Linked DNA regions of Diceros bicornis minor. The protein of the gene in region 2 purifies or fractionates together with the protein of the main gene of each other region. This does not show direct contact. Links are inferred from orthologs where the notes say so. Each region holds a gene or a part of one and is shown on either strand. Other genes may lie near its edges.

Region 1 (7,475 bases), on a different chromosome or scaffold from region 2:
ACATACAGAAAATTGCTCGAATTATTAAGTTCATTCTCCATGAATTTTCAAAGTGAATACACCCATGTAACTAGTCACGCAGGTCAAGAAACAGAACATTACTAGCTCCTGTAGCCTCCCTCTTGCCTCCCGCCACTGCCCCTGCCCCCTTCTAGTCACTATCTCTCCCATGGCTAATCATTATCCTGACTTCTAATATCACAGATTAGTTTTGCCTGTTTTTGTACTTTATATGATTAGAATGATAGAGTATATCCTCTTTTGTCTGATTTTTTTCACTTAACATTATATTGAGATACATTCCTATTGCTGCTTGTAGTTGCAAATTGTTCATTCTCATTGCTGTATAATATTCCATTGTGTAATTATCAAAATTTATTTACTGATTCAACTGTTAATAGGCATTTGAATTATGTTACCATGAACTTTCTAGAACATGTATCTAGGTGCACAAATTTAGTCATTTTTGTTGAGTGTAACCTAGAATTGAAATTGTTGATCATAATGTATGTGTGATGTTCAGCTGTAGTAGATACTACTGCCTTGGCTTTGCTTTACTGATAATAGAAATAAAAGTACACAAGGGACAGAGATTTGTCGAAGGTCACCTAGCCAGGACTGAGCCAGAACTGGAACTGGGTAATTCACTCCAAGGTCTAGATTTCAGGGACAGACTGGCCTAGAGATTCAGCAGAGGTTCACAGCTACACACATTTAACTTATGAGCTGTCTTTATCATCTAACCCTTGGGTAGCATAACACCAACCACCAAGCATGAGAAGGCTGCTCATCAGTGGGGCCATAATTGTAAATACCAATTTAGATTGGAGGGAGCTGGTGCATCCATCTTCTCTGCAGCTTATCAAAGAACAGCATGTTTGTGTCGCTGATTAAGCTAGATTTAGATTCAGTCTACTTCAGTGCCAGGCCCTGTGCAAGGTGCTTTCCTATATATTATCTCATTTACTCTTCTGAACAAACACCAGGTCAATTCACATCCATAACGACTATAAAAGCATAACATCAAAAGAGAGTATATAAACTCTGTAAGCAAACCGGAGCAATTTAGAACAGTGCTTTTTAAGCAATCTATGGTGAACGACCAATCCATCATAGATCAGTATTTTGTAAAATACAATAAAAAAAGAATTATTAGAAAAATAAAAAGACATTCAAAATATAAGCTTCCAATTTTTATTATCAAATTAAACAAATATAAAAAGTGCACTGTTAAATTGTTATAAAAGTTTCTAAACACTCTCAGTTTCTATATTTATATCATTGAGGACCGATAACAGTTTGCAGATCAATACTGGTTTTCAGGCTACACTTTATAATTCACCATCCATCCCCCCTTGGCCTTTCAAGAGAGATTGATAATTATCTTAGAGGCAGAAAGGTTTGAATAACAAGACATCTGCATAATATTGAGACCCTGGAAACCACTCACACCCATACAGGTTACTGTCTACATTAGGGGGACTTTATCATTCCCCTATCTTTATCAACATAACTCTATTCCAAAAAACTCTTGCACAGAAAGATTAAAGTTACAAATAACTTCTTTTTATTCAAAGACTTCCCCCAAAATCTCATTGAAATAAACATAAAACCCTTAAACTTTTCAATAGATAGCATTAAAAAGACGATTTACTCTTGTCTTGTCTTGTGTTCACAGATCCTATACTACTATATCACAAGCCTTAGCCAAAATAAATCAAGCATCACCCCATTGAAAGACCTGCCTTAAACTAGATTCCAAAACCTTATAAATATCCCCACTTTGCCCTCCCCCAGTCCAAAATGCTATTAAGACTGCCAAGGCAGGGCTTTTCTTACCCTGGTATACAATAAACTCAGTTTTACCTTCTCTACAGCTTGGTTTGCTGGTATTTTCTGGGAGCCAGCATTCAACAATCTAGACTTTCCTTTGTTTGTTCCTCCTGTTAGTCTTGCTCAGTTGCTTTCCAACTTTAGTATGCATAAAAATTACCAAAGAGGGTTGTATATACAAAAGCGTGCACAAGCAATTTAAGAGATCTCTATGTGTAATTTTGACCATGCCATATTTAGGACCTACACCCTGCATACAGATATCAGCAATTGGTGACGAATAGAGAATCATAGACTGTCAGAGCTGAAAGTGGCTCTAGGTGCCCAAACATCAGTGCGTGGATCAGCTACTTTGAAATCCTATACCTGATGTAGCCCCTGTTAAAAAATACCCATCCTTTGGGGCCGGCCAGGTGGCACAAGCGGTTAAGTCCACGGACTCTGCTGCAGCGGCCCAGGGTTCCCCAGTTAGGATCCCAGGTGCGCACCGACGCACCGCTTGTCAAGCCATGCTGAGGCGACGTCCCATATAAAGTGGAGGAAGATGGACACGGATGTTAGCCCAGGGCCAGCCTTCCTCAGCCAAAAAAAAAAAAAAAAAGAGGAGGATTGGCAGATGTTAGCTCAGGGCTGATCTTCCTCACACACACAAAAAAAATACCCACCCCCTTGGTTTCACCTCGGAGGTACCGAATCAGCGTTTCTAGAGGTGGGGCCTGTGAATGTTTGTAACAAACTCCCTAGGGGATTGTGACGAATAATCAGGTTTGAGAACCACCATTCTGCTCCACCACTTCATTTTGTAGATGAAGAAATGGAGATTCAGAAAAGGGAGTAAACTCGCCCAAGATCACATGGCTACTGAGCTGTGCGGCTCATGAGTCCCTGGCAAGAGTTCCCAGGGCTAAAGATCAGATTTTGGAGATGTCCTTATGTATCCAATATCTGAACAAGAATGATTAATGAGGTCATCAACCCACAATTCTATTTTGGCTTCTCAGCATCTCTTTAAGATTTATCAAGGTGATAGTTGGGGATGGGGGTGGGGGTCACGTGTCATAATCTTCCCCTGCTCCTGGGTGAAAATTCTAGCCGTCATCATGACTTCTCTGCTTTCTATTAGGTCAGAGGCATCAGCTAAAGTATAATTTTCAAAAGAGGTAAAATTATGACTCTTAAGCAAGGATAAAATGAACACGTACTGAGACTCTATTGTCCCTCTCGTTTGTTAAATTTTTGTTGTGCTCAGGAATTGTTGCTTGTCATTTTGCTGCTTAGCTCAAGTAAAGGCGGATGGGTTGTTAAAAGGCTTTAGGAACACGTCCTAGGAAGGCCGCGCGCCCCGCCACCCCCCCCCCCCACACACTATAAGTGAGCACCTGGAAGGAGTCAAGGCCCAGGCAGCTACTCCCCATGGTTGTTCATTACTCAGACCACACTCTTTGCTCCATTCTTTTGTTTCTCTACTCATCAGCATGCATGTGGCTAGACATTGACACCCCAGTCTTCAGTCTGCATGATCATCACTAAGTGCTCAACTTTGGACAACAGTGTCTGGAGCTTAGTCCGGATTCTTGATGGACACTATCTGATGGGCAGCTCTCCAGTCAAGGATCAGCATCCTTTGGGTCGGGTGATCACTCAGGGTCAATCAGCTGTACCTACTTGGAGGAAACACAGTTGCCAAGGGGCTGTGTGAGTGTGTGTGTGAAAGAGAGACGGCCAGGAGATCCCAAGTGAGAACTTCAAGAGGGCAAGAACAATAAAATGTGTCTTTTAATCAATTCCAGCAAGAGTGCTTGACACATTGCGGTTTGTGCCTCTCCCTATTACTCCAAATGAGTCTGGTTGTCACTCTGTTGCTTTTATTTAGGCGGGATAAGTTTGGGATGGGGGTGTCTCACAGGAGCCCACGGCGTACCTTCCAAATCATGTTTCCACCAATATTTGGGATCCTCCTTTGTACAAGCCATTGAGTTGCTAGACACAGGGGTGTTTTGTAAGAAGCCTCGGCCCTGCGCTCACGGACTTCAAACTTCTCAGTCTTGGATGGGTGTGAAGAGGAGGTTGACAGCGAGGACAAGTGCAGGAACAGTTGGATGTGCCCAGTTGGCAGGACCTGAACAAATTTGGGTCACTCTATTTCTTCCTAGAGCTGGCTCACTCTCCTTTGTGGGCACAAGACATGGGCCTAATAGATGTCCAGGTAGAAATAAACGCAAGGGAAGCGCGAGCTCCTCACCAAGCAGGCGGGGCGAAGGCTCTGGGAGACAGAGGAGCAGGTGGGTTCGGTTCAGCAATCACTGAACCCCCATTTGTGCCTGGATCTGTGCTGGGTGCAGAGCCGGGGGAAAGGAGGCTCCCGGGCTGGAGGGGCACACAGACTGATCATGCCGCACGTCCTGCAAGGGGCAGATTTGGGGCACCCTCCCTGCTGCGGGCAGCCAAGGGGCGCGGGGCGCAGGACCGGCCGGGGCGAGGGCCCGGAGCGCGCAGCTCCTTCCAGGGCGGAGGGCGGCGCGAGGGAGGGAGAGAGGGAAGGGAAAGGCGAGCGTGAGCTGCCTCAAATGCTTGGAATAATTCCGCTTCCGTTTGGAAAGCCGCAGCCTCAGTCCCGCCGCGCCCGCCGCGTCCGCCCAGCGCCAGCTCCGCGTCCCGACCGGCCCGCGGCTGCCCGCTCCCCCGCCATGGCCACCTCCCCGCAGAAGTCGCCCTCTGTCCCCAAGTCCCCCACTCCCAAGTCGCCCCCATCCCGGAAGAAAGATGACTCCTTCTTGGGGAAACTCGGAGGGACTCTGGCCCGGAGGAAGAAAGCCAAGGAGGGTGAGTGCGGCCCGGCCTGACGAGCGGCAGGGGCCGGGGCAGGGGGCCTGGGCTCGCAGGGCCGCGCGGGCGCGCGCCGCGGGTGCCCGGGGCGGTGGGAGCGGGGCGCGGCGGCGCGGGCGCGCGCTTCCCGGGAACCTGGTGCCAGTCTGTGCGCGCCCTGCGGGCCCCGCCGCCGCCCTGCCGGTGGTGGCCCGGCGCTGCGCTGCAGGGCCCGGGCGCTCGGGTGGGACAGCCCGGCACTGGGACCAGGCGACGTCCGCGCAGGGCCTGGCGGCTCTGCGTGGTCCGAGGGCCGAGGAGCCCGAGGCGGCGTCCTCCCGTAGGCCCCAAGTCCCCGCCCTCTCCGCCCCGAAGGCTGGCATTTCCCAAGTTTCTGCAGAAACTTTTCTGGGCGCCGTCACTCTGACTCTTCGCTTTCATTGGTCTTTGCCATCAGGTCGTTTCCTAGACCTGCTTAGGTCCAGATGCAGCGTTGGCCTCTTTGGATCTTTTGTCCATTCCCAGGGCCCAGCAGGGTTCTATTAATGAGTAGATCAACATCAAATGTTTGTTGAATGAATGAGGGATAATGTAATAAATGATCCGGCCATGTAATAAATGATCAAGTTGCACCAGAGGAGAAAACCCGGATTAGACACACACACTTAGCATCCTGCGCTGCGACCCTTCTGTGAACTCAGGAGTTGATGGCTCCTGCAAAAACCATTTCCTTTTTCCCACCAGGGTGAATTGAGGCGATCTTATTTTTTTCCAGGACAGTTTGCATGTAAAGTATTTTGTTCCATGGGCAGATTTCACATCCTGGTTTTTGGTTTGAAAAATGAGGTCACAGTTCTGAAGAAGCACTAGTGATGGATGTGTAGGTAGAAGTTGTTTGGTTAAATTTTTTTCATAGATTGCTCAGTGGTTTGGGAATAACTCTTCTGAAGGCGATGATGCTGGGATGGAAAATAAGTTTTATGTTCTGAGTTATCCTAAAGCATAAAAAAGAACTTCAGTGTTGAGAATTATCGAACTTGACACAAAGAACTAGACTTCTGTTGTCTATATTGATGTGAAAAGCAGCAAAACAGATCCCCAAAAATGTTTCCCCCCAGTGTGGTTATTTTGGTAAACCGTTGTCTGAGTAGTGTACAGTTGGTAGCAAATCATGAAACCCTGGCTTGGAAAGTCCTTTTCTAGACTACCCTTCTAACTTTTTCCTACAGTATTCCTGATATGGGCTCTCTAGCTTCAGACTGGGCAACTCAGAATTTCTGAAGCTCATGACCTCCCAGGAGAGCTCACCCCACCTTTGCAACTCTTTAGAAAAGTTTGCTTTATTGTAAAAGTAAAAAGTTGATCTCTCTGTATCTACTGTTATTCTATTCATGGAGCTGGGAGGATGAGTCTGAGGGTGGCCTTCACTCTTTTCCAGTGGATAGCCTGTGTCCTAGTTTTCCCTTCACCAGTCCAAACATCCTCTGTTCCTATAGCTGGTCCTCATAGACATGATTTTATGGCCCGCTGGCCTCCTAACTCTTCAGTTTTGGTCAGGACCCCTGCAGGAAACAGAAGGTCAACTTAGTTGGGATTTTGAAAATAGAGTAGTGAAGGGACTATGTAGAGAGGTGTGGGCAGGGTTAAGGGAACCCAGAGGGGTGATGAGGAACCTAGGGGCCAGCAGCAGACAGTGGGAAGCTCTTACCACCCCTAGGCCTGAGGGGACAAGGGGAGCAAACCAGAACCCATTGAGAGCTGGAGCTGTGGAGGGTGGGCTGCCTGGCAGGAACTGTAGCTGCAGAGGGACACAGCCACTGTGGGAGATGTGGAGGTGGAGCAGGGAGACAGGGCACAAGAGATACTCTGCGTGTTCTCTCTCTTCTTGCCCTGGAATCTCTTGTTGGTGTTTCCCATTGGCTGGACCCAGCGGGAAGTCACAAGGACTAGGGAATATGGGTGATGCAATATGTGGGGGTCAGCTCGCTTAGGGCACAGAGCAGTGCAGAGAATAGATCATAGTGGGGGAGGGGGGCTGGAGAATAACTAGCAGACCCTCTCAAAGTGAGCTGCCCAGAGGTCAACATAATGCTTACTAGTCCAGTCCAGCCAGCCCAGGTGAGAACAGAGCTGTCACCTCCTTTGCTCTAGCACAGACACCATGTTCTCTTCATGCAGCTAAGCCTGCTTTTCTTTTTTTTTTTTTTTTTTTTTTTTTTTTTGTGAGGAGATCAGCCCTGAGCTAACATCCGCCAAACCTCCTCTTTTTTTTTGCTGAGGAAGACGGCCCTGGGCTAACATCTGTGCCCATCTTCCTCCACTTTATATGGGACGCCGCCACAGCATGGCTTACCAAGCAGTGCGTCGGTGCGCGCCCGGGATCCGAACCAGCGAACCCCGGGCCGCCGCAGCGGAGCGCGCGCACCCAACCGCTTGCGCCACCGGGCCGGCCCCTAAGCCTGCTTTTCTTCATTCTTCTGCCAGCTACTTCACGCTGTTATCTCTCATTGCACTTGCTATCTGCTTACTCAAAGACATTTTTATGTTTGTTGTTCCTAAACCATTTCCTTCCCTATCTGAGGTTTACTCAATTGGGTTTTTGAAACCAAGTACAAGATCTTATTATCATCTGTATTATACTTAACTGTTAAGTCCTGATTCTGTCATTCAGTCTATTAGCTAATCCAGGGAATGTAAATGGGGCCCACCGTCACCCAGCTCCAGCTGCTCGCTGTTGCACGTGGTGGTTCTGCGAGCCCAGTCAAAGAAGGCGTTGGGGTTGGTCTGAGATAACCCGCTGTTGGTGCGCGTGTGCTAGATCTCAGGGTTCAATGCTT
Region 2 (7,243 bases):
GACCCACATACAAAGTAGAGGAAGACTAACACATATGTTGGCTCAGGGTGAATCTTCCTCAGCAAAAAAAAAAAAAAAGTAAGCATTATGTACAGTACTGATAAATGAGCCCCAATTGAGGAATGGGCTTCTGAAGGCACCCTGGAACCCTCCAGGCTCCAAGAGTCCAGAAGTCAGGGAGTTATGGGAGAAAGTAGCCACTCCTTGGGTCTACACACACTACAGAGGAGGCAGAATCTCCAAATTCACTTCCACGAACTCCCCAGAAGCACTGTGGTTCTTCCTTAAGCCGCTTCTTTCAGAAAACTTAAGAAGGATCTTGCTTTTCAGCAAATAATATTACACCGGAAACATCTTTTTCAGGAAGCAAGTGGCTATCTTTGCTTCTTCAATAAAAGCCAAGGCTTCAAAGAGATAACGCAAGTGAACCGAAATAGCTACACCACACTCCCACTACTTCTAAATATTACATAAAGAGTCCTCTTCAAAGCTGAGGAGAATAAAGTTCCTCTGCTGAAAGCAACCTCTTTCTTCAACCCCATGAGAAAAACAGAGTTGAGAGCAGAAAGCCATGAGGCCAAGAACACAGCTGAGCCAGGCCTCCTGCCTGCCGCTCGCCATCCTCTTCCTCTACTGCAGAATGCTCTTGATGACCATCACGACCACAGCAGAGCCAGCCAGGCCAGCGCAGGGACACATCCAGATTCGTAACTGCCAATTCAGAACCAGACATCCGCTCTGTTGCTGCCACCGAGAAGCAACCACCACGGAGACAGGACAACACATCCCAAGGGGCTGAGATGCTAATTAGTACAAAAGCTAAGTTTAACGGCAGGTGTCTTCCTAAGGGTTACCAAACACAAATCGTCTAAGCTTTTCAGCCCTTTTCCTTCTGCTGAGATGTATCGACAGCACCAACCCCAATCTCTGTCCCAGGCACAAACCAGGGATTCACAGTAAATTTGACTCCGTGCTCTCCATGCCTCACAAGCAATCCATCATCTTTCAGGGTCTCCTGGACACCTCCTCTTCTCCTCCAGTGTCACATCCCAGTCTGGATCTCATAAACTTGCAGGCCTAATCCATCCTTCTTTCCTTCATTCATCACACATTTCTGAGCTCCTACTGTGTTCCAGGCACTATGGTAAAGGCAGCAAACGTGAATATTGCACAGCTTTAGTCCCCCCAGTCTCCCAAAGGGAAAGAGACGTTTAGATTAGGAATGCATTACAATCCTCTGTAACAAGAGTCATGAAGCAAAGCACATCCAACTTCACAGAGGAAGGAGTGACTGTGTCTGCTTGCTACAGACAGAGAAGGCTTCACGTAGGCTGTGACATCTGAGCTGACCCTTCACAGATAAAGTAAAAGCATTTCAGGTGAAGAAAGGCGGAATGCAAAGCAACAATACTTGTAAAGGCACGAAGACCCCAAAGAGTGCACCCTGGTTCAGGAAAGGCAATGGGTTCAGTATGGCTGGGACGCCAAATGCATGGAAGGGACAGGAGCTAAGGTAGAGTGTAGTCAGATTCAGACAGGCCTTGCATGTCACGTCAAGGAACCTGGGGCATGACTGTTGGTACTGAAAACCAGGAGGAGTGTTTAAGGGAGAAGGTCCAAACAGAAGCCACATTCAGCCTGAAGAAGTGTTTTGTTTCACGTCTAAAGTATTTTTCAAATATTGGAATTAGTTGCCAACTTCTAAAAATCAGGAAATTTGATGTGGATTCTTGGCTTCTTAAAAAAAAAATCTGACAACACTGGGCCAACGTCCCCAGGTGGTGACAAGTGTTTGGATCTGAGTAGCAGGTGTAGCAGCTACCCCTTCAGATGGGATACTATTATGGAGTTCGTGACCATCCTCACCTGGCCCCCGCAGGCATTTGAGTTTGCAATCCCTGGTTTAAAGGAGAGTAACACAATAATATGTGTTACAGGAAAATAACACTGAAAGCAATACAGCGACTAAACTACAGGGGCAGTAAAACTGGAGGTGAGAGAGAAAGTTAGGAAGACATCACAATAGCACAAGCAGGAGATAACAAAACAGGAGATTACAAAAGCCTGAACTAAGTTAGGAGAATAAAGATCCAGAAAAAGGTAACGAGTCAAGAAACGTTTAACAGACTCCAGGCACAAGAATACCTATCATGTAACTTTTGTGTGGCGTTTGTTCAAGGGCCAAAGACTATATTAGGCGAAAAGAAGAATGATTCAAAAATGATTTAATTAAAACATAAAGTGGGTATTAAGTAAACTGTGGGGAAAAGCCACCCAAATGCCATAAATCAGCACAGACATCTGAGGAGGTTCAGCAGGAACAGTCTGTGTGGTTCTTATCCCAGCTCTCATGTTCATTTTCCAGTGGGAACAGAACAGATTCTGACTGCAAACTTTCTGAGCTGAGCTCTTGACAAGGGGTGTTTACAAGCAGGGGTGGGATGTAACCCATTACAACCTCTCATACCACGACTTGGCAGTTACTCGGAAAACTTACAAACCCTTCCAGCTCCTCCCAGGGGAAGGTCCTGCCCGAGAACTTACACAAGCCGTTGACGTCCAGCATGTTGGAGATGCCCCGGTCGCTCATGTCCACTTCCGGCTGGTTCTTCTCCCGGCTCTCCTCCACCAACTTTTTCAGAGACTTGGACATGATCTGTACCAAATGACAACAACAAAGCACGTGAGCGACGGCCAGGAGGGTGCAGGGATAGAAAGGAGAGAGCCTGGCTGGCACTTTCTGTTGTTGCCCTGGCCCTGGAAAGTGGGCATCAGCGGGCAGAGTCCGAGCGCAGGGAGGGGGATGGGACAGGGCGGGGCAGGGGAGTGGGGAGGGTCCAGCACCACTCCGGCCGCGCGGAGAGAAGCAACCCCGAGTGCAATGGCACGCACACTCACCGCGGAGGGCAGCACCTAACAGGTTGGGCGCGGGAGCGGCCGGCTTCCGCAGGGCGCACTTCAGCGGCAGGAGATGCACAGTAACTGAGCAAAACGCGCACCCCAGCGAGGAACACGCCCTGGCCCGGCGCTCGGCGCAGGCGCACACCGCGCCGCTCTCCGCTCCACGCCCCGCCCGCCCCCGACCCTTCCCAAATTAGGAGAACAGTTTACTAGACGTGGCTCAGGGGCGAGGCTCCGCCCATTAAAAAGAATGTGTACCCTGCGGCCGACCAATCACGTCCGTTACTCGGCCTTGAGACTCCGCCCCACCCCGAGGTTAGTCCAGCCCCCTGGAATCCCCGGGGCTCGGGATTCCGATTGGACCGGAGTGAGCACGTGCGCACTAGGTTGACGCATGCTCAGTTCCTAGGTCGAAGCGCACAGTGCTGTGGGCGGAAGCGGGGAAGTTGGGGGAGCGACTGCGGAGGGACGTTTGTAGCTGAGGTTAGGTCCTGGGGAAGTTTGGAGTCCATTTCTGTCGGTGTCCTGCTTCTGTGAGTGTGGCTCCACTTACCAGAAGTTGCTACCCTGAATCCTTTCTCCACAGTTGTGCCTCCCGCTGCCTTATGAGCTCCTCTACGACGAAAACTCGGTGGTGGTCTGTGTGTCCCCTGCGCCCAGCTCGCAATCATGGACCTCTGTGTCACAGGAAGGGGAGCATGGTCGGATAAATAAATGACCTCTTTTCCTACACTGCACTCAAAATTATACCATATTTTAGTTTGCTTTCTGTTGAATGATAATGTCCTTATACGATTTTCATTGTTTTTTCACTAGAGTGTCTAACTGCTTTTCTTTTTCTTTTTGTAACCTTCTTTACCCTATGCCTAAGATCTTGCCGCTTTTCATTCCTCTCCATTGCTTGAAATCCAATCAATTCTTCCTGAGGACTTGAGGAACCCACTAACTTACTGCTGTAACTGATTCTTTCTGTCCTTGCAGCTGAGTGGCTATCTGTGATTTCTTTTCACTTGGTTTCTGGGTTGAAACTGGCATTTCCTGTCTACATCTTGCTAGAGTACCTCTCAAGTAGCTTTGTCTAACAGGGTGCGTAGGAGGCACAAATTTTGAGTAGTTACATGTTTTTAAATGTCCTTATTTTGCCAATACCTTTATTCATTTGTCTAGCACAGAATTCTAGGTTCAAGATGAGTTTCTAAAATCCTGAAGGCACAGTTCCACTGACTTCAGCTTCCAATGTTAATGCCTAGAAATGTGTCGGTCTCCTCAAAAGTCTTTGCGGGGAACTGTTGTTTTCTCTTGGGAAACATTTGTAATTTTTCTTTTTATTATTCATCATGTTCTGAAATTTCACCATAATATCTCTGGTTGGTGGTCTTTTTCCACTTAATCTGTTTAGCACTCCTGGGGTCCTTTTCAGCTGAAGATTCATTTCTCTCTTCCTCCCTGGAAATTGTTTCTGCTGTTGCTTTGCAATTTCTTTCCTGCCATTTTCTCTGATTTATCACTCTTTCTGGAAATCTTGTTAGTCAGATGGCAGCCTCCTGGGCTGATTTGCTACAGTTATCTTTTTTCTCATATTTTTTCATTTTTAAAAGTCTTTTTAGCTTAATGTCCTGGAATATTATCTCAACTTTATCTTCCAAATCTTTTATTAAATTTTTGAAAATTATTTTGGCTATTAACAAAAAATACTAAGTCCTCTTTCTTGTTCAATAGCAGCCTGCTTTTGTCTCATGAATGCACTCTCTTCTCAAATATCTCTGAGGATAACAATTTGTAGACCTCTCTCTGTTTACTAAATTATGTTTCCTCAAGTGTCCCTTTTTATATGTGTGTACCTAGATTTTTTTCCCATTCATGCTGCTGTAATTCTTCCTCTGTCTGCTGATTCTGGGTTGTCCTTTCATATTCAAGCATGAAGTCTAAGCTGACTTTTCTAGATAGCTGGTGTGGTTTCTTTCCTCATCTGTTGTTGATCTGTATTTGTTTCCCTCCTGGGTCAGCATTAATTTTCCCTGAGCTGTTGGTTAAATTTCTTGAGAGCTGAGAGCCCAGTTTTACAGCTGCCTGTAATCACAAGGCTGCCTTTGCTGGTGGAGGGAAATTGTGAATTCTGAGCCACTTATACAATTCTGTTACTTCCTAGCTCACCCTTTCACCCTGCACCTGCCAGCCCCGTCAGATAACACCTGGAAAGTAGAGTCCCAATTCTGCTGCGTTTCTCTCTGGAAATTATTTTGGGCTGCAGTTTCTTTCTGTTTCGTTTGTCAGCATGCTTCCATTCACTTCCTGTTTTCCAGAAATTTGCTTTCACTCCCTGATAATTTTCCTCTCAGACTCTTCACTTATACCCGTGCTATTCTGAAGGAAATGTGTCCCTAAATTCCCGATTTTTATAACATGGAAATAGGCCCAGCTTCCTCAGTATGTGACCTAGGCAGTTATACAAAGCTCCGGGCTTAGATGGGCCCCATGCTTGGTTTAATGCCCTGCTGTCACCAGCTTGAAACATTTAATAATTATTTTAACAAGAGGCCCTGCATTTTCCTTTTGCACTGGCCCCTGCAAATTATGTAGCCAATCCTGCAAGAAGTCAATATTTATCAGAGCATAAAACCCTGCCACGGCATCACTGCCAAATGCTCTATGCTGAGATAGAATCTGTGCTTCAATACTTCAAAATTAGAAGGAATGTACTACCACTGCCTCCCCTCCGCCCACAGAGTGAGCCAATCAAAGATAGGGTATGGAAGATGCCTGGTCCACCTGAGGCACGCCAGACTATGACTACTGGTAAATTCACGTAAATTATTTCGTAAATCATTAATTCTAAAAATGCTGTTTTTGAGCCAGCCCTGATGGCCTAGTGGTTAAAGTTTGGCACTCTCACCACTTCAGCAGCCTGGGTTTGGGTTCCTGGTCATGGAACCATACCACTTCATCTGTCAGCTGCCATGCTGTGGCCGTGGCTCACATAGAAGAACTAGAAGGACTTACAACTATGATATACAACCATGCACTGGGGCTTTGGGGAGGGAAAAAAGAAGGAGAGAAAAGAGGAAGATTGGCAACAGATGTTAGGCCAGAGCAAATCTTTCCAAAGATCTGCACCAAAAAAAAAAAAAAAGCCTTTTTTATTCCCTAAACCATATTTATAATAAACGACTTACTAAGTGACATATAAATAAAATTATCAAATTAAAATTTGAAAAGCAAATTCTTCATCAAATATAGAAGAATTATCATATCATTTTTCTTCCAATAACTTCTCCATTAAATTGACAGCCATGGGGTGACGTGTGATCTCAACAAGTAAAAAATTTTCTTTCACTAACATTATTTTTAATGCTGTATAATCTTTAAGTTTTTACTCAACTAACAGCAATTACATTAAAATTTTTTCTAGGTCATATAACAGTGTCAGTCTTTTTTAATAATTTCAATAGATCTGTGAGGATAGTTTGACTGTCATATTTAATAAGTTCACACCTAATCCTTCAGGCCGGGTGGGAGGCACTCTCTGGGGTGGTTGCCAAGGTTAGAATCTCAGCTCTGTCACTCAAGTTTTATATAATTTTTTCATACCTCATTTTTCTCAACTATAAGATGGGGCTGATGGTTCTTAGTATTCTATTTCAGTGAGTAATACATAAGAATGATGCCTGGTGTAGAGCAAATGTTATATAGATATTAGCTCTCATTTTTCTTAATAAAATTAATGATGTTAGTATTCCTTTGGTGAGTGTGTGGCAGATTTTTAACAAATTCCTCCCATTAAATGGAGTTGAAATTTAATAGGAAATTATTTCAAGTAGAACCCATATCCTGGGCATCTCCTAGCCCCAAACCGTCATTGGCCCCCTCCATTCCCTGGGGCATTCTTCACAAGAATGCCTGAAGTGCCAGGAGATTCCACTGGGTCCAGAAAAAGCCTGTGGCCACCTCACCCTGAGCTATCCCAGCCAGTTCCCTGAAGACCAGATGAGGGCGACTCTGACCAGCAATGGCTCAAATTAACCCTGAAGACCAGAAGGCATGAGCACTGTCTTCCTACTAAGGTCCAGTTGTTTATGGAGACAGGAAACGGGAGGGGAGAGAGATCAGATGGTGGATGGAAGCCTGGTTCCCCCCATTCTGGGTCCCAGACTATGAGGAGATAGAGATGGGTATTGCCAGGAGAATTGAATCCAGAATGGCCACCAGCTGGTGCTGAAACAGGGTCCTACAGTCCCCCTCTAGGCCAAGCATTAGCTCTTGGGTTGCTGGATCAGGGGAAGGCTGGAGGGAAGAGGTGAGGTTGTGGTTTGGCTCTTGTCCCTGCCCTGCTCCTTCTCAAATA

Evidence for each region.
Region 1: the proteins of RSU1 (region 2) and PARVA purify together in Homo sapiens (affinity purification with mass spectrometry; 3 studies listed by BioGRID and IntAct, counting the BioPlex papers as one, with this or other methods). This does not show direct contact. The link is inferred for Diceros bicornis minor from reciprocal best matches to the Homo sapiens genes RSU1 and PARVA.

The regions. Positions count from the first base shown.
Region 1 is NC_080746.1:70,670,547-70,678,021, forward strand, and holds the start of PARVA (alpha-parvin), read left to right. Parts: upstream 1-4,468; 5' UTR 4,469-4,520; coding exon 4,521-4,656; intron 4,657-7,475. UniProt on the Homo sapiens protein: Plays a role in sarcomere organization and in smooth muscle cell contraction. Required for normal development of the embryonic cardiovascular system, and for normal septation of the heart outflow tract.
Region 2 is NC_080775.1:17,074,508-17,081,750, forward strand, and holds the start of RSU1 (ras suppressor protein 1), read right to left. Parts: upstream 3,020-7,243; 5' UTR 2,899-3,019; intron 2,657-2,898; 5' UTR 2,654-2,656; coding exon 2,545-2,653; intron 1-2,544. UniProt on the Homo sapiens protein: Potentially plays a role in the Ras signal transduction pathway. Capable of suppressing v-Ras transformation in vitro.